Linked DNA regions of Drosophila melanogaster. The protein of the gene in region 1 interacts with the protein of each later gene in a pairwise test. Each region holds a gene or a part of one and is shown on either strand. Other genes may lie near its edges. The genes, in order: twz, CG32354 and TfAP-2.

Region 1 (9,866 bases):
ATGCGATGAGTTGCGATGACCTGGGATTCGGATTGGGATTGGGATTGGAATCGGGATTGGCCACTGTCGGAGGTTGGAGGTCACAATCAAAGTAGCCTTGCAGCAAGGGTGCGCTAGGAGTCCACAGTGGGCACTGGCTATCTATCATTCTGCATTATTGCAGAATAATGGGAAGATTACTTGAATTTATAAAGTGCTTAAATCTAGTTAAGTACGTAAGTAAGTTACACGTTTAATGCAGATACTATGTAAGTTACTTAAGAACTGTAGGAATTAGATAAGTTTACTCCTATATAGCTTACCAGTTTTTGGAAGAGTTCTACCATTCCTCACCTGGCAGATATCACTGTACCTTTTACACGTTGGTTTCAAAAATTCATCATTGTTGGCTGCTGCTGCATTGTTGCCAAAACCCGCTGCTGCTGCTGCTTCTGCCTCTCCGCCGTCCTCCCCCACAGCTTGCCGCTCCCCGCTGCTCGTGCAGCACAGCTTCCCCACTTACCGCAAACCGAAACTGACTGATGCCTGGGAGCTACTTTTGGGATGAAATATTATAATTACAAGCGAATGTCCTGCGGCCAAGGAGGAGCAGGAGCAGATGCGGTGCGCGGCAGGGGAGGAAAGGGGCTCTGGTTTCCCGGAGGGGCGGACGGAACGGAATGGGATGGTATGGAGCGACATCAGCCAAGCATCAGGCAGTTCAAATCGCAACTCTCGCTCGCTCTCTCTCTCTCTCTCTCTTGCTCTGTTGCTGTTTCTGTCGCAGTCTGTGCTTCGGTGTTTTCGCCCTTGGGACATTCGCATTCGCATTGCCCCACACCCGTGGCGGCACCCCTTGTTCTGCTTCTTCTTCAGTTGCAACATGTTGGAACGTTGTGTTTATATGGTCTATCCTGCCGGCAAAAGGATAATTTAGATGACTGTGATAAGCCTTGAAAACTGGTTTCAATGTTTCCAACATGTTCGATGCGGCAACAGTTAGGAGTGGGTGGTTGTGGGGCGGTGGGTGGTTGGCAAGGTGGCTGATTAGTACGTAAGTGGAGAGGCTGGGGGACGGGGTCTCACCCGTTATTAATTGCAACTGAATGGCTTGCAGGTATTTATTAAGTTTTTGTTCAATTTCTAAAACTGGCATTTCCATGAGGCTTCGTCCCATCTCATTTTCACTCATTTCATTTATATTAATTTAGTGTGCGTCACACACAAGCACACACAATCATACACATTTGTGTCCTGTACATACGGCTGTCAGCTTTATTGAAAATTAGCCTGCAGTTAATTTAGCATGCCATTAAATTTCTACATGCCCCTTGTCGTTCTGGGCCCAAAAAGTAATGCATGCAGATTATAACTTAAATATGAAATGTCAAGCATTGACAGGCATTTTTGAAAAGTGTGCAGCAGCAACAGCAAGTTTTACACCTCGGGGCCAATCCGTTTATGGTCCGGAGTCGGAGTAGTCGGGGTCTCCGAGCTGGAGAGATGGATATGGATACGGACTCTCGGATCAGCATCTCACGCCATGGGTAGCCATTGCCACAAAAGGCAGGCCACAGCAGAAACAGGAATTTATGAGGCCTTTTGTATTTGCTCCGAGGCGAAAGTGTTCAGGGGGGGGGGGGGGGGGGATCGAAATTTGGCTGGAGCTGGGGATTTGGGATTGGTACTGGTACAGGTATTGGAACTGGGACCGGGCTGGGAAATGGAAACGGGAAAGGTATACGGACTCGAGACTCTTTGGAGTTGACAAGGGTCACATGCCAACTGGAGGCAGATGCGAAAGGGGCGGGCTGCATTAGTTTTGTTTCAACTACCAGAGGCCTAAATAGTTTATTGCCTAATCAGTGTGAAGAGAACAAAGAAATATTTGAGTATTACAATTAACACAATTAGCAGAGAAAATATTTAAGTCTGATTTTTAAGTGTTTATTTTATTTATTATTCATATTTTACTTGCTTATTTTCATTCTTGCTGATTTTTAATAAACTTATTGCTCAAGTATAGCAAGCATATAAACTTCTTTCCCAACTGGGATTTAAAAAGCTCACCCCATTTGAAGATCTTAATCGTCGGCGTTTAACTGTTTCCCTTTTGGGCCAAAAAGTGAGCAAAACAATTACAAACTATCTGCCGCACTACAGTGGCTCCTCCATTTGCTGAACAACTGATTCAATTCAGTGGACTGGTCGCGGCTTCCGTTTAATTGTGTGGCTCACACGCATTCTGCACGATTTTTCCCCACAAAAATCCCCAACCCTTTCACCTGCCGTCCCCTTCGCCTAAATGCTCGAATGCAGTTCGTTTTCGTGTGTGTGAGTTTGGTTGAGTGTGTGTGTGTGTGCGTGGTAGTGGGTGGTTACTCCTCACGTGTAACAGATGTCTGTAAATTGCTTTACTGACTGACTGACTCGCCAGTTGGCTGTTGGCGGTCGCTTAACTGCTGATGTTGCTGCTGTTGCTCCTGTTTGGTTTGTTGTCAGTCAAAGTGTCAGTATGTATGTGGCTAGCTTGCAGGTGTGAGTGCAGGTGTGACTGTGTGTGTGCGTGCATGTGTATGGGTGAGCATTGCACTTATAACTGCATTAATACGAGCTTATGGCTCACAGAATCGGAGGACCCATTAGTTATTGCTGCTGCGGCTGTTGTTGTTGGCCCAACATGCCACACACACGGCACACGGCGATGGCATTGCTTACAGGTGTGCGGCATTCGCAGCTTGTCAGTGGCCGCGTTTAACGCTACACTTAAACAAACAGCCGCGTGCGTCCACAAACATCGTACACATGCAACCGCTTACGCACACTTGCACACTCACACACACACGCACACGAATGGCGGCGGAAGTAAGGACAACAACAACAGCAGAAGGCCAGGATGTGGCCGCCTATTAAGTGATTTTAACACTTTGCGCATGAAAATTGCAAAAAGGCAACGGCGCGGCGTTGATAATTATCCCTTAATTGCTTAATGAGCGGCACTTGAGCAGCGCCGTCGACAGAAGCGACGTAAGTTTAATTAATGCCAATTTAATTACCACGCCACACACACACACGCACACACACATGAAAGTGGACGCATTTATGGGCTACTACTTACCGTTGTGTGGCACTTAAAAGCCGCACTTACCGCATAGAATTCTCTCACACTTTGTAAGTGAATTAAAGGCTTACTTGTTGTATATCTTAATCAATCGGATATGTTAAAAATATACAAGTTTTTCATAGCTAATTAGTATTATACAAATATTTAAAGTCTTGAATGCTAGGTATTCATGCAAATTGCTTTTCTTTCTACCATTTGAAATGCAATTTTCCAAAAATTCAAATATCTCGAAAATCACCATTAATAAACACTAATTGCTCCCACATATCTTGTTTATCTAAGTGAGCACTGGTTTATAGTTTCGGCCAGAGCTTCGGCCGACTTGTTTCTGGCCTCGAAGTTGGCCGAATGTCTCTATTAGCCAGGGCCATAAGTTATTTGGTTGTTTGGCTTGATTAATGTTCACCTGCCTGTGTGTTCCGAGGAAAACTTAAATCGAACGATGGACTCGGAAGGGGGACTTACTATTCGTAGCAGCCATTCGGACCTCGCTTTGTAGATTGTCAGTGGCAGCTTAGTTTTCGCTCAACCCTTTTCCATTGCCTGCCGGCCGGGGGCAATCTCTTCTTCCAGTGATCTAATCTTGTTATTGCCCTGACCGCCGTCTCCGGTTCCAGGCCGGCATACCCATAAAGACATACACATATAAACATGGACGAGAGTGATTTAGCTGATGTGCCAATTCAATTATTTCTACCTACATAGGATTTTTCCACATGGCACCGGCAAAACATATAAACACCGATAAATGCCATACATACAACAAGCCATGTGGCATATAAAATAGTGAATGTAATTTTATTCACATGTCTGGCCGCAGGCCAATCCGCTTTGCCCGCCGGCACCAAATTGCACAGCAACAGCAGCAACATCAGCCACCCCGGAACCACACGACGCACCTCTCCGCATCTCGGGTGTCGGTCTTTCTTCGGTGTATATATAAATATGTATATATATATATATATATATATGCCACATTATATGCTGGGTACAGGAAGGGGAAAGGGGAGCGGAGCGGACCAGAGAGCTGAAATCCATCATTGGCGCATGGCCCCGGGTCACATTTGGGTTGAAATATTATAATTACAAGCGAACGCCCGCGGGCAAGGCGAGGAGGAAGGTGAACCGAAGCTGGAGCTCCGGCGTCGAACATTGGCATCGCATCGCGAGCTTAGCTTGGCTAACAACCACACTGGAACAAAAGTCGGCTGCTTAGATAGGAAATTAAAGTATTTCACTGAGAGCAAATTTGAAAGAGTTGAGACCAACTGCTGTCCAAGATGGACTGCCAGTTACAAACAGACGCTTTTAGATAGTTTTTTCTTTCAGTGCATGGAAGGGGGTTGGAGGGAACGGGCCAGTTGGACGGGCGATCGAAGTCGCCTGCTGCGGATATGGATACTTAGTTGTGGTGGTTGTGTTTACGTTGCGGCTGATAACATCCCGTTTTGCTGCTGCCGCCGTCGCTGCTGCGCCAGATGTTGCTGCTGCTGCTGCTGCTGCTGCTGCGGCTGGCGTCGTGCCCCATGTTGCATGCAACACGCTCGACGGCACTCGGCACTTAGACCCCAACGAGCCCCCCCAAAACAGTCTTTTCTCAACGGTGGTTCAGTGTGTTTGTGCCGATGGTGTTTGCTTTTGCCTTCGACAACGGCAGCAGGTGAATAACAGTGTCTCTGGCTATTGCCACATGCTTTTTTGCGTTTGTTTTCGCCCAGCCTGGTAACTTGTTGCACGGCACGTGTTTGGACAACTGGCCGGGTGTCCACATTAGTGGGCGGGGCAGCTGCAGCGCAGGATAACAGAAAACAGAGATGAGTGGCATATAATTTAAGAACAACACCGAGTGCCGGTGCCGTTTGCCTATAATTACCCACAACCAGCTACCAACTAACTGGCCAAAGAATCACAGTTTTTTTTTTGTCCCCCAAAATTCATCTACATACATACCAATGCACAAAAATACACATACATACATATGTACAAAGTCCGGCAGCAGGTGACAAGCAGTGTGAAAAAGCTGGGCGCTGGTACCCTCATTATATGCAAAACGCTGCGTCAGGGCCGCCAGCCACTCAAACTTAACTTATTTTTAACTTGCATATTTTTGCCCATTCTACGGCATTACCTCTGCCACTGCCTCAGCCAGTGCCTCTGCCTCTGAATGTCCTTAGGCCATCTTAGTTGCATGTTCGAGCAATCCTTTCCGTTCCGTTCGCTCGTTCCACCCCAAGAAGCTGGAAATAAAGAACTGGTCCTCTCCCATTCATAACTCGCGGCTATATCTTCTTTTGCGTTATATTTCCCTCATTCTGCTTGTCTCTGGGTATCAACTGTCAGTTTTCGAGCTAAAAACGCCGCCGGCTTAGTTTGTAAATCATTAAAATTATGCACACACACACACACATGCCTCACATCCGCACACACTTATTATGTACAATATGCTAGACTGTGTGTGTGTGTGTGTGTTGGGTTTGGTTGGAGAAGTTGGCCAAACTGCATAGGAATCATTATGCAGTTAATGACAAATGTCACGCATTGCTAATGACAAAAGGATGTCGGCAATCGACTCCAGAAGAGGCCCCTTTCCGTTCCACTTTTGCCCCCTCAATTGAAAGGCACTCTCATTTGCGAGAGTCCAGCTTTCACCGACCCCAAGAAATTGGTAAACAAACTAATAAACATAAAGCAACAAATACAATTCAGCACAATTTACCAAATACGTTGCATGAATAAATATTAATCCTGTGTTAAACAACCATATTTTATTTAGTCACTCCATCATATATATTTATTTTTCCTTTTGGGCAGATTATAGTTTGTTTAATGCATTTTATACCCACCTTTTTGTATGGGCTTTAAGGCACTTAAGTATTGCATTAGAATTAAATGGTGCATTAAAAGTATTTTGGGTCAAACTGAAACAATTGAAATAATGTCAACTGCATTATGGCATTTCGATCGAAACATATTTTTAAATCAAAGCCAAATCCTTTAGAATATAACAAATTCCCAAAAACGTAAGCTTAGCATAAATGGCATAATATGAAGGACCAAAAGGATATTCAGTGGTTATTCTTCTATTGATAATTTAATCAATTTAAAGGACAGCGAGTGATAAAAAGGACACAGCTTTAAAAGCTAAACAAACACCTCATTTTGGCACGCATTGCCTGTAAAATGATTACCATTCAAATGTTAATGTAAATGTTGTGCCACATATGGATGAATTGATGGGTGAATGGGTGGATGGGTGGATATTTTGATAGGTGGATGGGTGGATGGGTGGACGGATGGATGCCCGAATTGCTGTGATGGTTGATATGTGGTCGCGCTTGCTGCCACTGCCGCTGCAGTTCGGTCGTGCGTTAAAAATTTAACACGAATTTCAGGCTGCGGCGGCAAAAATGGCATCATTAAGTAAAAGCCCCGCGGCCAGACATTGTGAATTTTATGAGCCTTTTCATATATATGCTTGTGTATATATGGGTATGCTATATATGTTTTTGTTGCTTCCTCGCTGGGTATCGTTAATAATAAAAAATATATGTTCGCTTGTATGTGTGCGCACCCATCCACACATATACATATATACATACTCGTATATTTTAAAGCCCATCATACACATTTGCCATTTGCCCAGCCTTGTGATGATGAGTGTGTGCTCACATAAATAATAGTAATAATAAAAAATCACAATAATGATGATGCTGATGCTGATGGTGTTGGCGGTCGCGGGTGGCGTAAAAAAATCTGCGGAAATTCTCAGCATATGCGATGGCATTTAAATGTTTGTGTTTTCCCATTCAGCATTCAGTATGATATTGATTGACAAGCAAATGCACAAGCGTTGAATAAATATGCAGGCGAGTGGGCGGTATGCCCGCGGGAGGGCGTGGCGAGCGGGCTACTTTAAAAAGCCATCAACAAATAATTACAAACGAGCGCGTAGGAAGTGTATAAATGTCGACGCTGATTTCTGAGCTGATCCGCGGATTCTCTTTTACTACAATATATATCTTTCTATATATATCTATATATATGTATATACATATGTACTTGATGTATGTGACTCCTTGCACCCATATACACCTACCCCCCACTTCGCCCGCCCACCCCACTGCACTGCCCCCAAGCGATCCAAACAATAAAGCATAAAGCGCGCCGCACACATTTTGTCGAATTATTTTGTTGGCAGTCCGCTGGCGGCTAGCTGCAGCAAATTGGCTTGAAATATTGGTATTGCCATATGTATGAGCTTGTGTATGAGTGACTGAATACGTACGACTCTGCCTCTCTCTCTGTGTACGTGTGTATGTGTGTGTGTGCGTGAGCTTGTGATTAAAAAAATATTTAAAATGGCAAAAACGCAAAGCGACGTCAAAATAAAGAAGCCCGCTACCCCATTTTGCCGCTTGAAACAATAAAAGCCCCCCCCCAACAACCCCCCACAGCATTTCCCATTCCATTTGAGTGAGTGAAATGAGCGATAAAATTGCAACAGTTTCCACTCGTCGTACGCATTTGCTGCGATAAAGGATGAAAAATTGAAATGCCACTGCTCACGCGAAACAATTAAAATTTGACATGTTTTATTGAACACTTTAATGCCGGTATTATTTGCAGTTGGCTCCTCGCAATTTACGTGTGTGTGTCCCTAATTTATATAAAAAAAGTAGTAAGCTAAAACGTTTAAAGGCTATCGTGTAAAAAGATATAAAGAAAATCCCTTCCTTATATATATATATATATTTTTTTTTTTTGCTTACCTGCTTTAAGCTGGCATTCAGACACACGGTACACCATCTCTATGGCAGATCGCCGATTCTGGAAATATAGCGAAATATTATTGTGGCGCATGTACTTCAAAATGAATATGGCCGGGGGACAAATAAGCGAGCATTCCGAAACAATTGCCAATGAAAAATGATGCGACAGAACTCTCGGCTTGGGCGGAATTTTGGCCACCACCCCCGCGGGCGTTGCGTTCTCCAGCGGGCGGGGGTGGAAAGTTCGCACTCATTTTAATTACAGCTGCCTAACTGCAGGCCTCACTGTACTCGCTCAGCTCCGTCGTCTCCGCATTCCGCACACCCCTCGCCGCCTCCATTCAGCTTGTGTTTTGAAACATGGCCTGGGGCGTATTTATCACAAGTTTTTCTTTGCATTGCCGCCGGGCAGCAAAATATTTCAGCTGCCTCCGTCGCAGTCGCTCCTCGAACGACCCCGGGGCATTCCAGGCGGGCTCAGCTCAGCGCCCCAATGCTCCGTTCTTCGTGCTTCGTACCGCCGTTGCCGTTGCCGTTGCCGATGGCGATGCCGGCGGTTCTGGTTCTGCTTCTGCTTCTTCAAAGTCTCTGGAGCTGATGCCGCACAAAGTTTCATTTCGTTTGGCCGCGGGGCGCAGCGTTCTATGCTTTGTCATTAACACCAACACGCACACTCGTACACCCGCTCACGCACACAGAGGCAGTCGCACCAACACACTGGTGTCAGCTGTACATGCACCCACACACAGGCATACACATGGCCAAGGGCAACAAAAACAAACAGGCTTTGATATTTACAATTATAGAAAATCGACCATATAGAGATGTCCCCCATGACGAATGCAACTTTTGGGTTAAATTAGTGTATGCACTTGCCAAAAAATATTTTCAAATTTTGATCTATTTCAGAGTCTTTCATTAGAAACTACATTTATGAAATATTTTAAAATTCTGTAAGCTAGAAATTAATATTTCTTAATTTTTAAAACATAACAATGTTTTTCGAATGCTGTAACTCTAATTTAACGAAATAATACCAAGCAGTCTAATTCTTCTATTTGCAGTTACATTGTTAATTGCGGCAGATTAGTTGCAGGCCACAAGAAAACAAGAACAACAAAGCCAGATCGGACCACTTAAACCGGAAATAGACCATTAAACGCTCGAACAAAGGCATCATATGGTGGAAAAGCCAAGCCGCTAAACAACAAACGGCGCTCTCTATCTCTTTGCCGCTGCTTCTGCTGCTGCTGCTGCTGCTCTCTCAAGGTCGTCGGCTCAGACGCCAGCGCCGACGAACTTCACTCCACCCCCACTCGCAACAAGACGCAACTCGAGCCGCAACACGCAACATTGGGGAGCCGAACCATTGGCCATTCACCATTCGCCATTCGCCATCCATCAGCCAGCGAGCTAAATCAGTATTCGAGCAACTCTCGACGCGAATGCAAGTGAGGTAAATTGCCAGCGCTCAAAAGTAGGCAACACTTAGGTCTAACGGTGAACGGTGAACAGCGAACGGTTAACGTTTAACGGTGTGCGTTGTGTACGGCAAGCGGAAACGGAAGTAAACACTCGTTGGCGCGCGCTCATTTGATTGAATTTGAAAGGGTTCAACCGAAAGCGACTAGCGATCAGCAGATCGAAGCACACTGAGAATATCGAAGGTCACTGAAGATCGGACAAGACGAATATCGTTTATCTACGCGCGCGTTGTATTAAAAAAGAGTTAAAGTGCATTTCCTAAATATACCAACCTTTTTGTGAGTTTCTTGAGCGGTGAAGAGACACTTAAGTTGCACATATAATTTGTTTTCCTTTTATAATTATACAATTAAGTCATTCTATGATTATTTGTTTAAATGTTGACGGAAATCCAATTTATCACATTACTCCTGCCCTAATGTTAATTTATTAAAAAACATGAGTTTTATTCATAATTATGAAGATGAAGAGTTTTAGGTGTATAATCAATAGCTCAAAATTCAAAACCC
Region 2 (12,858 bases), on another chromosome or scaffold:
TCTTTCTATTTTTTAATATGCACTGCCACTGCAGCCGCAATTTTCACTTTCCATTTTTATTGGCAACCGCAGGCGAGCGCCGTCAAATATTTGGCCAAAAAAGAAACTGCACGGCTGCCAAAAGGTTTTTACGTCTCCGCGCCAGCCTGGCTTTCTTTTAATTAAATTTTGCTCTTCTGTTTTCAGTTTCTTATTTATTTTTTTTTTTTTTGGCGGTCTTTTCCTGCGGTTTGTCCCCCTCATTTCTATGGGATCTGCAGCTCGTCGTGTTTGGGGTATTAGTTCTGGGCACTGGCGCTTAAAGCCGAGTCACGCCTGTCATATGCAGTTTGGCTTTTTCCGTCGAGCTGAGATCGGCTCGGCATTATGTTTTGTTTTGTTTTGTTTGGTTTTGTTTTGGACCTGGCTCTCTCTGATCTGCCCAAAAAGCTAACTGTAAACATTCACTTACTGACCTCTTTTCCCATGCGACGGCCACTTCCACCTCCACCTCCACTCAATTTTCTTTAATGCACGCGACTCCGCCGCCAATGATCTGCTTCTTCACCTTCCTCCACCCACCGCCAGCGCACAGTGGTTCCAAAACATGTGGAATTTAAGCACCCACAACGCATTTCCCAAAAATGATGATTTATTGCACAAAGTTTTAAGGGAAAGTACTCGTAAGAAAAAAAAGCAACATTAAAATTCTTAAAAAGATTGAATATTAACTTAAAGCTCATATGTCCCGAACCATGAAAGATTAAGGATTATGTTTTGCTTAAGAACATTTATTTACTTACTATTTATAGTTTAAAATATAACTTCATTTTTTATGTTACTAGCAAGTTATTTATTTGGGTAGCATTACTTTGTATTCCTTTTAACATAAGCTAGAATTACTTAACTAAAATATTATTATATCAAATATATAATACCTAAGACAATTAGATAAGGTCTAAGCTCTAATAGCTAAACTATGCCAAAATCAAATATTTTTGTGTGAATGCATTAGTAAACATGCACCTTAAATTGGCATCAGGACACTGTGCAAGGTGATAGTAGGCTATGTGTGTGTGACCCTTATTCGCAACGGCCGCTGAGGCGTAAAATTTATGGCTTTAAAGTCTACAAGTCTATAAACACAGCTTCCAGGCTGCACTTTCTACTGCAACTGCAACTGCCAATGCCAATGCCACTGCAACTGAATCGTGGACTCGGATCGTGAATATTGTATATTGGATGTGGGATGGTATGGCTTGGGTTTGGGCATCGGAGATGTTGGGGGAGCACGGACGTGGATGTGGATGCATCTGATCCGATCGAATCGTATCGTATCGAATCGAATCGAGTGTGTGAGTTATAATTTCAAATGCGGCGCGCCTTTTTGGCTGCATTTTGCTGCCACTTTTGGCAAATTAAATTTGTACGCAAAACCGATTAGGCCAGGCAGACATGACCAAGTTGTTATTTTAAATACCAACAACTCCATTTAATCAATATGCCCCGGCACCCAACAATGCACTCGAAAAACTTGTGGTAGTAAACCGTTAAAGTTTAAAAAGAAATATAGGTCTATTCAAAAAGATCAAGACTAGACTACATTTTTAACTTAAATTTACTTGCTCTCTTTACTGCTCTCAATATATGTTACATTTTGAAAGTTTGAAACTGCACAGACATGCATATCTTTGAATTGTATCCTTTTACAATCCACCATTGCTGTTATTGTACATTATAACTTTTTTATTATTATTCATATATATTTTTATTTTTTCATTGTTTTTCAACTTTAAAAACTTAAAGAAAGCGGTGCTTTTTGTCCTAACTGGAAATACTCTTGATTTAGTATTCAAAAGATGAGTGAATTGTTTCGAGTGTAGCTGCAACAACAACAGCGCTGGATGCTCTGCTCTGCCGTCGCCGACTGCGCTGCCTTTCACCCATATAAATTTCTTTTCATTGCAAATTTTTTGCCATTCGTCGGCGCATTGTCAAACCTTCCAGTCGCATTTGGAGCCCAAGCTTTCCGAGATTTCAGAGCGACTCTAGAGCGCACTAAACAAAGGCCTAAGAAAAAAGTTAAAAAGGCGAAAAAAGAAACAGAGGCAAAGACGACAATACGAATTGTACAAATCGGATGCGAGCGCGAGTGTGTTAGTGCCCATTCATTCATTCATTCATTCGAGAACAATAAAAAAGAAGAAATGAAATACGAAATGCAATCGCCGCAGTTGCAGTCGCAGTCGGCGTCGCAGTAGGCGTCAGCGGAGGCATCGGCCGAGGCAGAACAGTAGCAGCAGCATCGAAATCCGAAAGACAGATCATTTTTCATATGCGAATCGAAACTCGAAGAGCGCGCATCAAAGTCAAATTCAAACGACAAAAGAGTAACGGACAAAAGCGAATTGTTTTGTGCGCATAATAGAAACGAAAAAAAAAAGAAAAACGTTATAAAAAGCAAATAAAAGGAAAATAAAGCCTTACCAGAACCAGTAATTGAAATCAAATTAAAGGCGGGCCGTGCAAAAATCCACAAAACATCAAGAAAAAGCCATAAAGCCAAGGCGATAAAAAAGAAATTATGCTCCATTGTGCGATTGTGTGAAAAGGTCAAGTGCCCGGCAGGCAAAGGGAAAAGCGAAAGAGACAGAAGACAGCGTAAGACACGGGAGCTTGATGTTGATAGGCAAACGAATGAACTCGTAAAAGGGCGCTAAAGAGAGAGAGAGAGAAGGCAACACAACGACATCGGTTAACAAGAAGAGCAGGAAGAAGAAGAAGAAGAGCAGGCCAGGCCCAAATGACCGCAAGATTACCGTTAATTCGAACAGCTTAAGCGCCATTACGAGCAGTTATATAGTCCATATACTATATAGCACCACTATATCTCTATCTCCCTGGTAGATCGACCGAGGAAGAGAAAAAAAAACTTTCATCCACCGTGAGCCGCAGCCGCATAAAAGTTTGCTACTATTTCAATTTCAATTGTTAACGAGCGAAAGCGCCGCACGCCTCAGTCTCACATCACGCACGCATCCGATCCGAGCGGCAACAACAAATCATCAAGCGTCTAATAGGAAAAGTGCAGCAGACAGCCAGCGAAAATGCACCACAAACAGCATCTGCATCTGCATCTGCAGCCCCCCGCCCCAAACGCCACCCAAACACAGGCCCACGGACTTGGCCAGACTCCAAGCCAGATCGCCAGATGCAGCCATAACCACAGCCCCAGTCTGGGCCTCAGCTTTGGCGGCACCAAGAGCCAGCGACAGCTGTTTGGCGCACTCTTGGCCATGTTCACGTTGGCGGCATTTGCGTCAACCACCAGTGGTAAGTCGTACACTGCGAGAAATCCCAAAATTGGTGCTACACGTTGAGTAGAAAGTCACAGGAAGTAGTCTTAGATCATTCGAATCTCTTTCCTGGCATTCTCACTATTCAAATTGTTTAATTGCCTCAAGAAATGAATCAGCTAAAGAAGTATACGTTGATTCAGATTCAGCAAAGTTCCTCCTAACTAAATTAAAATCAGATTAAGATAAAACTAGGTTCCTTAAGCAGAGCATTAAGTCCAATATAATCATAAAAGAGAAAACTGACTATGGAACTCTTAAGCCATTGCTAAAGTAAAGAATGCTCTATTTAAATCCAGATTAGTTAACATTACATTTAAAAGGGCCTAATACAAGTTTCAAAGGGTATTAGTTTTCCTCTTGCTAAATGTACTTTCTCCTAACTATCACATCGTTATTGAGTTGCAGTTAAAACTGCGGACAGAGTTCTAGGGAAACCCGAGTTCTTCAGCGGAAAACGGCAACTGATCTTGAGCTAAATGAAAGTTGCAGACAGACTGGACAAGTCCCAGTGAGTGCCGTCTCAATTACCGCCTAATTTCTCCGGGTGTTGAAACGGAGAAGGTGAATCGGGGTCCGGATCTAAGACCTACAGCTGTGCGGTGGTAGAAAGGCCGTCGCAGCAGCTATTCAACTATCCATTTCTAAGGTACTACTCCGCACAAAGTGAATGTAAACTGGCACACATACACGAGCGCGAAGCTTCCAATGCCCCAACACCTCTCCCCCCACCGCCCCCTAGACCACGAACTCCCCAGTTTGAGGCACTCACTCCTCGACGCACAACATGCTCGTAAATATTTTCGTGCACAATTTGTCCAACATTCGTATAAATTCATTAAAAGCACGAAGGGGCCAAACAGAAGCCGGGGGCCTGAAAACGTAGGGGGGGGGGGGGGCTGGTGGAAGAGGGGCGAATCGCTAGCTCATGGGGGGGGGGGAAAATCAAGCTGACCGCACAGTGGCAGCGAGCTGGAAAGGGTTGGGGGTCAATTGGGGGGGTTACATCGTTTAAAGTTGACCCGAAGCGAAATGATTTATTTGACTTGTAAGCGCGATCGTTTGGCTAATTGATAACCGCACTTCATCGGAGATTGATGGGTGAAAGATCAATTAGTTTTGGATGCTGTGATATATGCTCGCATGCATATACACATATATATGTACATATGTACATATATGTTTTAATGGCCCCAATCAGTGGCGCCGTGATTCATTCATCTATGGGCTTGGTCATGTCGCTGCTCGCCACTGTGCCACACCAAACCGGAGCAAACCGAGTGCACATGGTGTGCTCCATGTGCATATATAGATATGTATGTACATATGTACATATATATATGTACATACCCAGTATATATCATGCAAAAGTCCCTGCCCAGCAGTGCAGTGCGTTGGTTGCTGGATTTTTCCACTTTTGAAAATTATACGGTGGCTGCTTTTATTATTTCTCTCGCCTTTTTTTTTTGCAATTGATGGCATCCGATAGGCAGGAGCCTGCCAGCAATTCGCTGGAGGCCAGGAAAATGCACCTGCACTGGGAGAAATCAGCAGAACATATGAACAAAAGGAAATCAGTAAATCAGAGGTGTATTTAAAATGCAAAATAGTATGGTGTATGGTGTTGTATAAGTTTGTACCATTAGTTTGCATGAGTGATTTGATTCTGAGTTTATCCCAGGACTAGTACCACACTTTTCTGCCAGTGCAGGATTGGTGAGAGTGGGTGGGGCGGTTGAGGTCGCATTGCTGCAATGCTGAATGAGATTGGCTGTGGTCTCGGCTTTTGCCTCTGACCATTCCAGCGGATCGTTTACATGTGCATTAATTCCTAACGCCGCTTAATTTTCTCCGCGCTTAATGGCTCCTCTGGATGCCGATGCCTCCGATTCAGATTCGGACTCGCATCCAGCCAGAGAAGCATCCGAGTCCATTAAGCTGAGAATGCGTCTGCTCGACTGACTGACTGGCTGGCTGGCTGGATGTTGAAATTTCCATCTTTATGGCCGGCAGCAGCAAATTGGAATAATGAACGTGGGTTCAATTATCGCAGCCAAACCATCGTGTGGCAGCCTCAAAGAGCGCTAATAGATTTTCTACTGCTGTTGGGTATGTCTATTTACGTTCGTATATCTTTAACTAAGTTGAGTGCTTCCTCCGGAGGCGGCTCTCACAGCTTTCTTTGCAAACAAAAAAAAAAAAAAAAATAAGAAAAATGGACAAATCAACCCAAACTAAACCAGCAGTTCCACATCCGACCAAAGACAACAGAAATGTTCGGCGCCGGAGGCAATTAGTGTGGAAATTTCACTTGCAGTTTTTAGCACAGATTAAGCTTACGATTTCTGGAGGGGATTAGCATGAACAATTATAGATGGAGGTCGCTGATAGTCCGTATGAACGAAGCGAGTGTATTAGCTGTGCTCAAACCACAGCCAAAACATAAATGCCATTGTGTCGTTTTACTTGGAATCGAGATTTGAAGACGGGTAACATTTGCCGTTGCCGTTAGTAAAAAGGGAAAGAATTATTCAAGTTAATGGCTGGTTACTTGAGTCGGTCATGCGATCACTCCAGAATCAGAGACTGGTCTCGGATGCGGGGGAGTGTCGGCGGGTGGCGGCATGGACACAGTGGGTCACAACTGCGCAAAATGCCCTATGATCGTGCGGCTAATCTGACATTTGTATGCCCACAGTTGACTCTTCCGCATGCCACCGCTAAAGAGCTGTGGAAAATGCGAAGGGAAAGTTTCATTTGGCGGTCTCGAAACAGAGTTACCCTGGGAAAATTCGATGGACAACCGGTCATTACGTGCGGGGAAGTAGTAATTATTACTAAGCTTTGTTTAATAAGTTCATATAACAGAGGAGGAGGAACTACTGTCTTGCTTTAAATGTTTAGAATTAAGTTTCTAGATAGAAACCAATTAAATTCTAAAATCATTTCCATCCACAGGCGCTGTGACAGACTCACCCATCAAGATTATCCGGCTGCCGGCGCAGGCGCCAGTTATCCGCTATCGCAGTGCAGATGCGGCGCCCAACTCATTGCTGATCAACTATCGTCAGGATGCGCGACCGGAGCTGTCGTCCACATTGATGCAGGCACCCGGAGCGGCGGCAGCTGCCTTGGAGTCGCTGCTGCGCGAGGAGACGGAGCAACAGCAGCTGTCACAGATGGGCAGACGGAATAGGGCTAGTAACACCGGCACCGGCAACTGTCCTCGATCCTGTCCACCGAGCATCACCGTGGGAGCTGAGCCCGTGTGCGGCAGCGATGGTCTGATCTATGCGAATATCTGCGAGCTGCGCAAGAAGACTTGCTCCCGCAGTGGAGTGTCGCTGATCAAGGACGTGCGGGATGGCTGCGAGAGGTCGAAGGGTTCGGACTGCAAGCACCGCTGCAGCACGGAGAAGGATCCAGTGTGTGGTACAGACGGAAGGACCTATCTGAATCGCTGCATGCTGAGGGTGCAATCGTGTCGCGTGGGATTGGCTGCAGTGAAGCTATCGCATGTGGGTCCCTGCAGCAACACGAGTGCCGTGCGTGAGTCCTGTCCGGTTGACTGCAACAGTGCGCCGAAGGATGGACCAGTTTGCTCATCGGATGGCAATGTATACAACTCCACGTGCGAGATGAAGCTGAAGACGTGTGGACAGGGTGTGGTGAAAACCAGCCGGAAGCACTGTCAGTCCACACGAATGTGCAGGGAATCCTGCTGGCGTGTGGCGAGGCCCACTTGCGGATCAGATGGCAGACTGTATGCCAGTCCGTGCAAGATGCGCTCTTCCAATTGCGGCAAGCACGTCTTTGAGGTTCCCTTATCCTACTGCATGTCGCAGGAGAGGCACGGAGCCTCCGATGCCTGTCCCACGGAGTGTCCCAAATCGGATACGGATTCCTCGTCGCAGTACGTGTGCGGCAGTGATGGCAACATATACTCTTCGCTGTGTGAACTCAAAATGCTCAATTGCGGGTGAGTTTGGATGAGATAAAAATGGAATATAACCAGACTAAAATTTTATCTTTCAGTCCACAGCGCAAGTCCATTCAAAAAGTGAGCATGGACAAGTGCAAGAATCGACTGACCCGCTGCAAACAGCTGCCTCCTTGCAAGGACTTCAATAGCTTGTTCGGTTCCATCTTCAGCTCGAAGCGAAATGACAAGCTCTGCGGCACGGACGCCAAGACTTATAACAATGAGTGCGAACTGGCCCACGCCACCTGCCTGTGAGTATCCATGATAGGATCATCCATAGGACATGGATCTAGCTCTTCAACTTCTTTTCAGACGCGGCGTGAATCTGGCCCACATTGGTCCCTGCACGGATCTCAATTCGCCCACCAAGGATTGCGGGGATGCCTGTACTCGGGCGGATCTGGAACAGCAGCCAGTGTGCGGCTCGGATGGCAACACCTTCGCCTCCATGTGCGAGTTCAAGCGGCGCACTTGCGATCTGCGTGTGGTGCCCGTTTCGCTAAAGAATTGCGCTTTAACCGCCGACTGCGAATCGGATTGTGATGCCCAGCCGCCAAGTTTCGTCTGCGGATCGGACAACAACTTGTACAAGTCCGAGTGCCACATGCGCAAGGAGAATTGTGGCAAGCATGTTTTCGTGGTGCCACTGAAGCGCTGCCTTGCCGCCTTTCAGCTTAAAGGATGTGCCCGCATCTGTCCCAGGGAATTCGAGCCTGTTTGCGGCAGCGACAATAAAACGTATCTGAACGACTGCTTCCTGGAGATCGAAAACTGCAGGGCGAACCAGACGGTGAACGTCAACTACTACGGCGCCTGTGGCCGCCCCGAAGCACCATCCACTAACTTCCTTTACTAGGACGTATGTATGCGTGGCGTCTTCATTTCACTTGGCATTTAATATTTGTAGGCTATAGTCTTGTATTGTACTTTTTTTAAAACGATATTTATTGAGTTTGAATTAAAGCCCCCCAACGAACTTACAAGGAATGCACTTAAAGCCTGGCCTGCATTTAACATCTAAGCCGAATCATCAAAGAGCTTGCTCAGCATAGCGTTGATCTCGTGCTGTCTGTACTTGACGTATTTGTCGGGATTCTTACTAAAATGCACTCCAGAGTAACTAAAAATGATACAAGATGGTTAGGTATAAGCTGATAAACCCTATATACGCTTACATTTCGTAGAATCTATTGTAGATGGGCAGTATGTGCTCCACATTATCACGTTTGATGCCTTCTCGCAGGATCACATCGGGTATGGAGATGCCCCGCTGGATTTTGCATGCCTCCTCAAAGTCCTTATTGAAGTTCTGGAAATTATAGAGGATGTTTTTTTTTAAATCAAGAAAGTTTAGCTTATTTTAAAAATAAAAACCTACAGAAAATCTCTCTTTGAGCACACTGCGATCCTTATCCTTGACCTTGCCGGCCACTGGTTTGGGCAGTTCATCCAAGGAATAGATGCCGACCAGCATCTTGGACCAGGTCTTTTGATAGCTAGCCTTCAGTTCACGTATCATCTCCATGTAGCTATGTTCGCACTCAGGCTCAGCCAAGGTGACCAAATCAATAAGATTGGAGCGTTGCAGCGACTTGAGGATATAGTGAATGTTATTTAGTCGGAAGAGGTGCTTGGTGGCCTGGTCATTGTACTGCTCGCACTTGTTCATTATGGAAAGATTCAGTTCGGCCAAAGCTTTCTCTGCAAAATATAGATAGTGGTTTAAAAATGTTCGCACAATTGATCTTGTTGCCACTCACTTATGTAAATCGCCAAGAGCGCCTTATTGCGTTCCTCGACTGGCAGCGCCTTCTTCATCAAAATGGTGTCCAATTGCGTGGAGTACAGGACATCCTGTGCCAAAATGGAACCAATAACATCGAAATGATCGTACAAGTGCTCAATAAACCAGATCGTATTGGAGGTCAGCTCGTGCACGGTGGCATCCTTTGGAACATTGCTTTGGCCCACAATATTGGTGCTCGATTCGCCCTTGACTACGTCCAGGAAATGCTCCAATGCCTTGGCACCGGTGTGCTGCAACTTTTTTAGTACTTTTTTCAACTGTTCCCTTTGCGCAGGATCGTATGTGCGGTCAATATCCGGCTGCAGCAGTATAACCCGCTTTAGGGCGGAGAATATTCCCAACGCCGAGGTCCACTCCTTGCGGGAAATGCAGCGCAGGATGCGTTGCGTAATGGCCTCAGCGTCCTTAACCACCAGATCGATGGCATTATAGGCCAAGGTGGCGAATACCTCGTTGTGTTTCGACTGGGGAATAATGTCGATCATGATGGCTCGCTCCCAGTTAAGTAACCGCTGCAGTCCCAGCAACATGACCAGATACTTGTCCAGTTCCTGATCGCCATCCATCAAATCCTCGGAGGTCAGGTGGTCGCTGTGCGATGATGCCTTCTTAATGGAGAACCCTGTGGACTGCTCAATCGTCTGCGTCGCGCGTAAATATAACTTGTTCGCCTTCTTTTCGAATCTATGCAGAATAAATTAAATATATCATATACGAAAACTTGGAAATTAAGTAATATTTCTCACATTTGCTGAAGACGAGCGGAGGTTGTCTTTTTTGGCTCCGTTTGGCGTCCACTGTGTCGCGGTCTCTGCAAGAAAACATTTTAAAAACATTAATTTGAATTGTTAATTGCCATTGCATTAATGTTTCTTCGGAATAATTAAGGTACTAAAATGGTAGCAAATTAAAAACTCTTATTTTTGTAACCTTTTAATATGCATTTGATTCTTATGAGTTTATTAATTTTAAAAATGTGTGTTTTACAAAAGCGTTTATACCCCAATTTTTTTTTTTTTTTTTGACAAAAAGTATTATGCAATTTGCTAGCTTACGAAATAAATTTAAATTTGTAAATGAGCTTCGGAGCAACATTTTAGGAATTACATAGATTCTTAAAGTGTACTAGAGTTTATTATTTAAGGCTAAAAACGACGAGCTTTAAGACACCAGGTCTTTTACAATAATTCTAGAATACCTACTTAATTATCCACATATATTAAAATCACAAAGTTTCTCTTCACATAAAACATTTTAAAATCTTAGTGTATGATAAAAGATGGACATGCCAGCGATTCACTTAAAGAGTGTGGAGCACATCCATGATACGGTTGCAATCCTCATCGGTATTTAGGCCGATTTTAACAAGATCAGCACGCTCCAAGGATGCCAGTTCCACCAGATCGATGTGAGCCTCTTCGAAATTGGTCACATAGTTCTCCAGGCCCATGTGCATGAGAATCTGTTCCACATTGGCGGCATGGTTAACCACGTACGAGTGGTTCGATGCTTTGATGGAACGACGACGCGACTCCAAGGCCAGTGAGGTCTCCATATTCGAGTCATCCGAACAGGTATCCGGGCTGCTGCAGCTCTTTATTTCTCGCTCCGGCTCGATGATCTCCTCCTGCGGCTTGGGCAGCACGAATGGCGGGGGCTTAAGCTGAGTGCGATGGCAGTGCTGATGCTGCTGCTGCTGCTGCTGCTTGGGATGCACCTTCGTTGGCACTTTCTTGAAGGTAGCGAACCGCATGGGCGACACTGGACTCTTCCCCTTCGTGCCCATATTCTCGATGGGCGAGAGATTGGGCGAACGGAAGTTGCCAAAGATCGGAGTAGAGCATCGCACGTTGGAGGTGTTCACCTTCAGGGTGTTCCATCTGCGCTCCTTTAGCGTTGGCGTGCGATTAAGCGTAATTTTGGTCTTGTTCGTGGGCGTGCGAGAATTCTCCATTTTTTTTAGATACTGTGACACAGAAAATGATGCGTTCTTTGCGAATTCAAGCTGGCAAATGGCGGTCATCGAATTGGACATGTAATGCTTACATGCACAAGCTTTTTCGAACAGACACCGTTAACCGAAACGATCAGAGATGGGAAAAGCATACATATGCTCATCATCGTACACATCGCTATTCATATTCTACTACGTACTATTTTTCTCCACATAATATATATGTATTAATACTAGTTAGAATATGAAAGAACTGTTTACTCACCAGAGCCTCGTGACCCCAACTGTTGCTCTTTTGGTGATCCTTGAGCAGCTGCAGCGATCGGAGAACCACTTCGCCCCGTTCCGTCGCGTAGATGTTTGTGTACTCCCTTAAATTTTGCTCCAACCAGTGCGATATGGTGTACAGCTCCTCGCGCGTCGTTTGCGAAAGCTGCCGGAATGAGGTGTATTCATCGCTGGAATCGTCCTCTATGTAGATAAGATCCAGCAACTCCACCGGCTTCAGCGGAGCACTGTGCTTCTTGAGGAGCATACTATAGTGCTGACTCAGGCCTTCGCAGCCGGTGTTAAACAAACTGGTGACATTCTCCAGCTCCACGCTCTGGGAATTGTTGTGCCGGAAGTAATCGTTGGCATCGCGCAGTTTGGCTAGTGCGTCGAGGAACACCGAGATGTTTCCCTCCACCGGGCCTTGATGAATCAACTGGCAGACCTCTTGGGAGACATCGTAGTGGGACAGGACGCTTTCCAGACAATTGAGAGTAGCTTCCAGATCTAAAAAAAAAAAGAGGCGGTGACACATTAGTTTTTTTTTTTTGAAATCCCATTGAGTTTATTTTCATACTCTGCTGCCGTTTCTGGAGCTGCTCCGTCTCCTGGTAGACGGGCAATATGGTCTGCTCCAGGTTTCCCAGGCGCTTCTCGAAGATTGTTAGAATACTGGACATTTGCGTGGACAGATCATGGTATTTATCCACTCGATCTTTCAGCAGAGCTAAATTGGTGGCTTCCTATGAGGAAAATGGGTAAGTATGGAGGTTTTGAGCATGACAACTAGACATACCTTCTCCAATTTATTGTGCGCCTGCAATGAACTGTCCAAATTGTTCATTTTCAAGCGTATATGTAGCTAAAATCCTTTAAAAACAAACAATAGTTCTGATATAAAAAACAATTCTATTTTATTTTGTTTTGACGAAACTAGGCATTTATGCACACTGGCTTTGGTCATACTGTCAATTACCGCGTTGCCAACTACTTTGCACGAAAAAAAAAATTATAACGGTCATTTCAGATAGTAATAGAAACTTTTTTTAAATATTGTACACTTAGACAATTAGGTAAACGATAATGAGGCTATGTTTTAAATAAATTGTTTTTACTACTAGTACTAGTTTATTAGTCAAGTCCTAGTTTTAAAAGCCAAAACTAACGGAAAAACCCGCCAAACTGCCATCTCCAGCCAAGACGCCAACTTTTGTTGTGGTTGGTTGCCATGGAATCTGTGTGTAAACAACGCACCTGCATTTAGGAATTTCTACCAACTATGCAGGATTAGCCAATTCGACTTCTGCAACAATGAGGGGTGTTCTCAAGTGGCTGGAACGCATAGAGTTTCCCAATAGCAAAGACAATGAGATCAGGTAAAGCTTTCTCATTCGTGGAAAACAACAACCTGTTGCTTGCTATAACGCCATAACGGTATTTGCAAAACCCAATTTTCCAGTGTCCACAATGTGTGCTACGCACCCGATGGCAGCCAATTGGTGGTGGCTGC
Region 3 (9,633 bases), on another chromosome or scaffold:
AGAGTGCCCGCCCAAGAAAAGAACATGCCTGCGCGATTCGATGTTCGCATTTTTTTCGGCCACTACCTGGTCTCCGGGTTTTGGATGCCACCAATTATATTGCGACATATAAAACAAGTAGGCCCTAACATCTTATAAAACTCCTCACTTTCATCGTGTGGACCAGTCGTTTTAATTACGCTGTCAAGTTGAATGATGGTGGGCTTCCAGGAAGGGGAGGAGGGCATCCCTCTGGACCTCAATACTCTGGAGGGATGTGACCAGGTTATATGGAAACATCGAGTGGCGTAAGGACCGCCTTGCGGCCATAGAATAGGCCGAGTTCATGCGGGCATTGTCATAATATTGTCAGTAAATAAAGAATCCATTCTGCGCATTTCGGGCGCGAATTTACATATGGTCTGCACTGGCCATCCGCGAACCGGCAGTACAGTGGGTCCCTAAGCCGCGCTCGTTTCCAATTAGATTACACACTCGTTCGACGTCCGGTGCTGTCATTTATTGGAACTGCAAGTTGGAACTGTCGGAAGAGCTATAAATTAAACGAATTTAAGAGGAAGCTTCGCTCCAAACGCTGCATATAATATTCATAACAACAATGGAAATGTTCAGCGGACGATAATCGATTTCTGCTTATTACGATTCTTGCAGGTACTCCTGCCCTGCTCGTCCTCCTCCTCCTCCTGGCTGCGCACGCGCTCCAATCCGCAGAGCTGGAGCTCGGCTGGATCCTCAGTCTCTTCCTTCGGCTCGAGCTCCAGCTCCAGCTCCTTGGCCCTCAAATGCGCGGAAGAGCGGAGGAGCCCTTAATGAAGTAGTAAAACCCATTCATAAATGTATTAAACCTGCTGGGTATTTGCGGAGCCTGCTCGGCCAAAATCGAAAAGCTGCGTCCCATCTTCTAGCGTGCAGATGACGAATAGAAGAACGACGAGCCGAAAGTGCCCACTTGGCGACCATGCATGTGCACTGCGAGAAAAGGTCGAGAGTGTTGTAAGAGAACCACTTTGTTTATGGGCTGCTGTATAGTATGCAAATTATACGATATGTTACATGAATCTCCGTATATAGTATTCACTACTAATTATACATAGGACTAAGGTTACTTCGTTCTGCAAATTGAAATATGACCATGCGATAAACTTACATATATGTATTGCTTTTTAATACTATATTATACTATTATAAGATAAACAAGAAATATTGGAAACTATGATTACAAGAACTCCACATGCACTGGCATTGTGATCTCCTTTTGAGCTCCTCACAACCCAATGATTCTCCCTGTGTAGCTTCTTCCGAACTCGACTGAGCTAAGCTCGGCTCGTCCGTTTGCAATCTGCGTCCAAAGGGCCGGCTTTCGATGCAGCAGCCTCGTGAGCCAACTGCAGGTCTGGCCTCCCCATCCTCCACATTCTGCCTCCGAGGAGGCAAGGCCAACGCATGTCGGCCAACCGATGATTTCGCTCTTGCCTTGGCTTTTGGCATCGGACGAGGATGTGGATGTGGTGCTTTGCACGGCTTTGGTTTTGGTTTTGGTTTGCCACGAGCCTAACACACGCCGTCCACATCGTCGAGGTTCCGACACTTGATTCTGGATTGTGCTGAGGATCTTGGCCACGTTATGAACATTTACATTTATCTTGCCAATCAATTTGGTTTTGTTTGGACTTTTTAATTTCCTCTCCGCAAATGAAATCAATTTTGATGCGTGCATATGCAATTCCAGTTTCCTCCGAGGATGTATCTGCATGTCTGTGGAAGCGGAAATGCCTTCCAGCGGATGCAAAGGACTCGGAATTATCTCGCCCGCACTGGCGAAATAATAAATATGATATGCGAATATGCAAATATGAACACGGATCGGTCTTACACTCTGATCCTATCGAAATTGTTTCATTCATCTTATTGCGAGTTTCCTCTAGTTCCATTTATATAATTTACTTTTAATCAAGACTATAGTATTCCTGCATCTGGAAGTGGGGGAAAGTTTAATGGCGCTTATTCATTTCTTTATGCAATCCCTAGCCCTGCGCACAATTACCATACCAACATGCCTCGCAATCCTACAAAGTGCACATTGTAAATTGGAACAATTATTCTAAATTATAAAGAAATTATTCAATAAATCATAAGGGAAGCCATCAATCAGGCTTTGAGCCCGAACCTCTTGGATGAAACGGAGTTTGGCTAATAAATAAGCCCAATGCTGAATACTTTTTGATATTTGGGAGCTGGGCTATGGGAACTTTTCTGCCAGTCTGTATGGCATTCTTTTTTTAGTTGGCGATCGCACGCAAATTGACGATGCGTTGCGCTTCAATCTCATAAATTATTTTGGCAACGCATCACGCGAGTGTCCCAGTGGGATCTTACCTGATTTGGGAGTCTTCGGAGTGCCAGGGACAGGTCCAGGACCAGTACCAGGACCAGCCAAACCAAACCAAACCAAAACCAAAGCTAATGCCAACACACTCGACATGCCCACTTTGCTGGCGGGACTCGGATTTTTGTGGGCGATGACTTTTGGTCTACCTCTTCGCTGTGTTTTTGTTTTGATCTTTGGCCCTTGCCCCGCAAATTGCCCTATTTTTTTATCGGGCATCGAAAAAGTTCTTGGAAGCAAGAACACCATATAATTTCGCTAATTAAATGGGGGAGCGTGTACCCACGCATTTCAAGAATTCCTCCATATTCGCATTTGAATTTTGACCACTGACGTCTGATCACTCCCACCGCCGTCACTTTTTGCTCTCTGCCTCGAAATCGTGAGTGCATTAAATGTAGGACCTTTTTTACTTTCAGATACGGTTTCCCTCCCATAACGCACATATTTGAAACAGCCAAACCGCTTAATTTGAGGCTTATGTCTGATGATACAAATACTAATACTAAGAGTACAAATCTTATAGAGACTTTAATCGAAATAACATAGAAAGCATAACATGGCTTTCTCTCTTGGATTTACATTTACAGTTATAGATATTATAAACGATCAAAGACTGTAAATATTGTACGATAAATTTGTATATGAAATTTAAAAGAAGATTAAAAAGATTTCAAGAATCATTACTCTAAAAACAGTGGACTTCATACACATACATATACATATGCTAGCTACAGTTTTAAGGTTCGTCTTTCCGACGGCTACTTTTGCCGTCTTAAAAAATAAATGATTCCAAATTGCCCGTTCAAAAAACAGAATAAAATTAAAAATGAGTGCAACTAACATTGCATCCTTTAAGGGTATGTTTCTCAATTACAAGTAAATAAAATAAGTTAACAGACCCATTGGCTTTTTCAATAAGATTTTATATTCTTTAGTCTTGTCGCCCTATAATATTTGAATAGAGAATTGCATTTAGTAAAGAGTTTTCAGCCCAAGAAAACCTATAAGGATACTGGGAAACTAAAATTAATACTTTGATACTGATCGAACATTACCTAATCTGAATACGAATATGCACATTTGATTTCGATTTGGTCCATTTGTGTCCAATGCATCTCGACTAGGATAACAAAAAAAGCAAACTGACTTCTTGAATGTCTGATTACCATAAACAAACACCGTTTGTATTCAGGTTTTAGATCCTGACTTTAATAAAATTTTTAAATAGACTCCTTGAGGTTTAAGACTGCCTACTTTAAAAAGTCAATTTAAATTTGAAGATGCATTTTCAAGGTTTAAGACCTCTAATTACAAGAGAATTGCATGCGCCTGTGATCGCAGTCTGCTTTCGGGGCCCCACACCCTCTTGGGCACTTGAGTGATCCCCGGACTCTTGGAGTGGGCACAATCAGGTTGAAGTTTATGTACTTATTATTCCCAGAGCAGAGTGTGCCACACGGAGTCGCAGGAGAACCCATTACTGTAAATTGCTCATTGATTTTGCTGCTAGAATGGCCCGGAATGGTAATCAGCTTGTGTGTGAATGTGAATCACGGGCGCAGATCTCTCGGTCCGGATCGCTGGCCAATGGTCGTAATTGGCCAATGGTTTTAAGGCTTGCGTGCCCCAAAATGCCCAAAGAAATTTCAGTGTCAATCAAGCTCGTCCGCCCATGGGCACTCGATGGTTCAATATCTTTGAGTATTTTGAGTAGCTAAAGCTGCGCCGATGCTCGGGCGGGGATTAGCCTGGGCAGATTTCGGCTGACAGACAATTTGGATAGATAGACCCGACCCTCCTCCGATCGAAGTATCCTGCAAAAGGCGCGCAGCTTACCATCATGAACTTCTGATCCTCGAACTGATGGTCGTTGGTGCGGTGTAGAATGTGCATGTTGATCCAAATTAGACGGCGATATCAACTAGTTGGAGAGCATAGGTTTTCTTTTGAACACTTGGGCCAGGGCCAATGCAAAACAGGTACGATCACTAAATAAGTATTTATTGAAAATCGATTTTTGGCACTGGTTAAGGCAACTGTGGGTGCTGGAGCTAGAGTTCCGTATCCGCCGCTATATACACTGCACTCTCCCCGATTGAAGGACAATAGACGTGATTTAATTGTATTTGAACTAATTTGCAGTTCGGATCCACGATCGTTTCGGTTCGGCTAGGTGCGGATCGGTTCGGAACGGAACGGAGCGGTTTCGGTACGGTTTTGGTTCGGTACGGTTCGGTTTGGTTTGGTTTGGTTAATTAAGCGAGGACCCGCAATCGAAATTCCGCCTTTGCGCAGCCACCAGACGTAGTTCTCGACTGAAGTTGGATTTTCTGGTTGGACGCAAAAACCTTCGGGGGATGTGCGATGTTGCCGCTGCTGCTGCGGCGGCGGCTGCTGCTGCTGCTGCTGCAGATGCTGCTGCTGCCGCGGCTGCTGCCGTTTTTTCTCCCATACAGCTGCGAAATACATAGGAAAAGTGCCCAAAGCCTATGCCCGTGCGCCGCGCGTCTGTATGGGTGTGAGGCGCACACAGATACGCCGGGCAAGCAGGTTTTCTGGCTTTCGGGCATCGAAGAGCGGCTTCCGAAGAGAGCCCGCCGCCCAAAGAGAGCACAGCCATTTATATTTCGGAAGCCACGCCCCGCCAGCGGACTACTAGACAATGGGCCGAGCCCGAAAACCGAAAACCCAGAGGCTGCGGCAGGCAGCGCAGCTCGCGTACAGACACACAGATGCGGATACACAGCCACACTGCCAGATGCGGATGCTCGCGAGATGCGAGTGCGATACGGATACGAATACGAATACATAGGGGTGGAATCGCATGCGAATGGCCGGGGTTGGCGACGCACCCGTGCCCCGAGGGTTGCTGGATCTCTGAGCCCGGGCTGCTACTGGGAAAACCCCGGCATTGGACGCCCAAATCGCCAGTGGTACGTGCTCCGGGTTCTTTCTTCTCTCGGGGATTAAGCGACCCACCTATGTATGTATGTATCTACGTACTTATCGAACGTTCGGGGGTTGCCATGTGAAAGAGGCTGTCCGCCCGATTTACATATTCTACATAAAAATCTACCCATATATGTAAGGGCGTGAGTGTGGGTCCTTGCTCGCCATAATCAAAACAAACTGAAAATAGCAGATTTTTATTTTTTCTATGGCTGTAGCTTTCGAACATTTGAGGGTAAAATTTTTGTAAACGATTAAACAAACGGAAAATCAACAGCAGGCCACTTCGCATGCTTAAAGATTTCTAATTTACAAATTCCCTTTTATATATAACACGATAGAGGAACTTAGGACAATTAAAGCACTCTTTAAAATTAAAGGTTCACTATAAACAAACTATTTTGGCTTGCCAATGAACTTATAACAAGCAAACTTCTTACTTGTGTCCCGCTTTAATAACCTTTATCTAAATAGTATAGTTAGTTTTACAACGATTATAATTAAAAAAATCGAAACAAATCAGAAAATTAATTTAAGGACAGGTGCTTCACAACTTCAAATCAGGAACACTATTATGTTTCACTAACTTCAGAGCTATAGAAGTTACCCATTCTGATGTTTTTTAAAATTAAATATTGATAGTTAACTAATTAGTCAATTATTTGTTAGATTTTTATAAGTACTTCATGAAACAATTATAATAATAACAAAAGTCAACGACTTTTCATATGCGAAGCCATAAAAATATAGTAATAGAGATGAAAATAAGGAAAAATTTTGGATGGCAAGAAAATCGATTATATGATATTGTTAAGGCATCGAAATACTTTTTGCAAACTTTAGTTCATTACTCAAACTCATGAATATAGCAATAAGGTAATGAAACATACTGAAAATTCTTATTCGTCAATATTGTTTTGTGTCAAACTATCCAAAAATATGGACTTTGCAAAAAAAGTTTAATCAATTAACATAAAATACAACCATTGCCACCGTTTAGACCAGCAGACCTTTTTATAAGTTACATGTGTTAGTAGGCCATAGAAATCAACAAAGTTGGTTAAAGTGTGAAAGTTGGGTTAAAAAGGCGCTGACTTAGATAAGTCTTGAGCACCAGGAATAAATCTTTAGTATCAACGTGGTGTTCTGTATGAATCTCCATCATTTGAATTCCTTGTTCTATTAACCACGCTGAAAAGCTGAAAGTAAGCGTCGCAATCCTCAAGAGACATTCATTTCATTTATTCCTGCTTTGTTTTCAGGTTACACAATTAGATCCGCCAGTAAGCGGGACAAGGATTAGCGGCTGTGGAAAATTGAATCACTCGGCGGATTGCCCAACCCGAGCTTTGAATGTTTGTCCGCCCCAATTGAATTATGCCATTAGCTTTCTAAGTGACTCAAATGGATTCGGGCTCCTATCTTCTGTTGCCAGGGGAGCAGAGCAAAGTTCAGCCGAGAAAGAAGGAGCGAAGCTCGGAGGAAAAGTATATCGGGCACGCAGTCATTAAGTCCGAATTTGTGGCAGGGCGAAATGAGATGTGAAACCGTGATCTCGCCGACTGCACATGCACATTATGTACGCGGAGCCACTCACGAAGCCACCTCGGAGGAGCTGGCCAAACAGTAAATTTCGTGGAGTGGAGTGCAGTGGAGTGGAAGCGGCGATCAGGTGCATTATCCAATTGCGGCGGTGGAATGCCGGACGACCCACCTCCATTTCAGCGATTTCATTGCGGCGGCACGACTTTTGATTGCGGCCACGACAAGAGAACGATCGATCGATCCATCCATCCATCGATCGATCGATCGATGATCGGTCCGCCATTTTCAGACCCGATTCGGATGCCGAGGCAAAGCCAAAACCGATACTGATACGGATACTGATACTGATGCACTGCTCGCATTACCAATTAATTCCCAGTCCTCCCCGCAGCACCGGGCATAAATCGTGATGCACAGTGGTCCGTGTGCCCATGGTAAATGCACCCAAGTACACCTCTGTGCAACTACCAACTACCGACCCGCACACCTACACCATTGCAGCCACAATTACATCCACGTCCTCATCCACATCCACATCCCAACCCATACCAGTGCACTCCCGAAAATGGCAGCTTTCTTTGAGCCAGTCATAAGCTGGCTCTTAACCGGGAGGCTCCTAACCCAAGAGCCGAGGAGCTGGGGATCGCAACTGCCCAAGAGTGGAGGACTCGGCCTGAGCACCTCATTTAAGATGCGTCTTAAATGCGATCGCCGGGGGGAAACTCGTGAATGCCGCAGGACTTGCATGACTACTGCCCAGACTTGTGGCTTCGTGGCACTTACTCCGACTTCAAGCGACTCCTTTAGCGGCAAGCCGCTCTTTTTGGTCCGCCTTGCCGGCCGCAGACAAGTGCATTCCATTTCAATCCATTCCACATGCAAATCACAATCAGCTCTCGAGTGGTGATTTTCCGAAAATTTTAACAGACGATGTGCAACCAAAAATGTAATTAGATTGTAGCATGGGAAATAATGTTGAAAGGTATTTACTTTCTTAGGCAATTCAACAAAAATCATCACTTTTAAATCTAGTACTGAGATATATTTACTACAATACAATCTTTTTAAAAACCGTACACTTGAAGATCTAATTACATTTCTGAATTTTTCGAAAGAATTTATGTACATATATGGTGTAACACCACGATCATCTATTGCTTATTCGATTGATCTCCTTCTAAGATTACACACAGACAGAAGTAAGTATATATTCGAATAAGTAGAATATAACCCAAAGATTTATTCTGAATAAGCCCACTAAAAATTCCCCCGCTCACAATGCATCTAGAAAAATGTCTAATTAACGAACGTAACTTTAGAGCAGAAGGCCCTTAAATGGAACAATCCCTCAGAGCGAAAGGAATAGGCACTTCCAGGACAGAGCCTAAGATTTCTAGGGGTTATGGCTAATGGGACTGCTTAGACCTCATGGATTTCTGGACTGGACTTGGGCGGGGGGAGCGGCGTATGCAAATGGAGCCCTTGTGATTGAGTGTTTGTATCTGCAACTACCTCGCCATAATTTTCCGCATTCACTTGGGCTCGGAGTCCAACGCATGTATATGTAGTACGTAGCCCTGCTCGAATACTCGAGTGTGGTAATATTTTGAAACAGCCCCGGGCCATTTCGTTCATATTCGTTAAGTCCTCAGATGCAGGCAGATTCAAATTTCGGGGGAAGCCAAAAGCTGCGGCTGTGGCCCGCTTGCGATACACGAATGCGAATCATCAGCGACATGGTCGTGGCCCATGGCCCATGGCCCATGGTCGCTTCTTCGCTCATTCGCCAGTTCGCCAGTTCGTCCGTTCGCCAGGTCCTCCTTCCTCTTCTTCTGGCCGGTCTTCCAGCAGCAGCAGCGCAGGCCCAGGAAAAGGCTCCTGCTCCGGCTCCTGCAATGTTGCACGACGCCAATAGCCGCGGGGAAGATAAGCGAGTGAGCCGCGCTCGTCGCAGTCCTGGGTTCCTCCAGCCTCCTGTCCTCTACTGCTGCCCAGCTTTTGCCCCTACCTGCACTGGAAAAAAACTGTGACTGGCTAATGCACGACATAACATGAAAAGCGTATATATGTTATGTATACGAACTAACTCAAAATCTATTGTGATAGCCTGAGCGGGACAGTGCACCGCTTATTTCTTTCAGTGTGCCCCAGCTCCGACCGAGGTTCTCTGTGCGGCGGTGTGTGCGTTTTCAGATGCAGTTGCAGCAGGCGGATGGCGAATGGCGGATGGCGGATGTTTGCAGCATATTTCCTACGGCTGTGCTCATGTGCACCTTTAATCCGCTCTGTTTTTCGCAATTCGGCGTACGAGCAGATAGGCGATAGAGCGCGGAGCACCAGGGCGGACCATTTAAATTCGAGGTCAAAGGAAACGCATTTGCAGCTGTGTTTACCCACCGTAGATTGCGATTGCGTACATAAATTGCGAGCATATCGCTCGCCTGCACACACACACACACACTATCGAGTGAAAGGATTATCCTAAGATAGCCCAAAGTTTCAGATACCGATTCTTTATTGATTAAAATAATCTATGCCATTTCGTAATACTTGTAAATTAAATGCATTACATTGAAACCCATCACATTCCTATAAAATAATGGGATTCTGACTGGCTAGAAGTTAAGACCTGAGTATAGAACAATAACTTATTAACTATATCAACTTATTCATCTATAATATACATAATACATATTTTTAGAACCTATGTGTATGCACCCAAGCGATACTCAAACGAGAGATAAGTTTAA

Evidence for each region.
Region 2: the proteins of twz (region 1) and CG32354 interact in a two-hybrid assay, tested with the Drosophila melanogaster proteins (one large-scale study listed by BioGRID).
Region 3: the proteins of twz (region 1) and TfAP-2 interact in a two-hybrid assay, tested with the Drosophila melanogaster proteins (one large-scale study listed by BioGRID).

What each region holds. Positions count from the first base shown.
Region 1 is NT_033778.4:21,570,879-21,580,744, reverse strand, and holds the start of twz (tiwaz), read left to right. Parts: upstream 1-4,709; 5' UTR 4,710-4,763; intron 4,764-8,936; 5' UTR 8,937-9,317; coding exon 9,318-9,328; exon of another isoform or gene 9,329-9,635; intron 9,636-9,866. UniProt on the Drosophila melanogaster protein: Functions with the transcription factor TfAP-2 to regulate octopamine neuronal signaling pathways that control behaviors such as male aggression, male mating, and the initiation of feeding.
Region 2 is NT_037436.4:8,411,295-8,424,152, reverse strand, and holds CG32354 (uncharacterized protein), read left to right. Parts: upstream 1-1,947; 5' UTR 1,948-3,086; coding exon 3,087-3,312; intron 3,313-6,293; coding exon 6,294-7,314; intron 7,315-7,370; coding exon 7,371-7,568; intron 7,569-7,629; coding exon 7,630-8,173; 3' UTR 8,174-8,296; downstream 8,297-12,858. Other genes in the region: mtrm (matrimony), read right to left, coding at 10,425-11,078; Exo70 (exocyst 70), read right to left, coding at 8,335-8,437, 8,493-8,626, 8,696-9,018, 9,078-9,808, 9,871-9,935, 11,344-11,855, 11,926-12,091, 12,145-12,192; Oseg1 (outer segment 1), read left to right, coding at 12,660-12,724, 12,808-12,858.
Region 3 is NT_037436.4:21,593,931-21,603,563, reverse strand, and holds the start of TfAP-2 (transcription factor AP-2), read right to left. Parts: upstream 4,709-9,633; 5' UTR 4,283-4,708; coding exon 4,226-4,282; intron 1-4,225.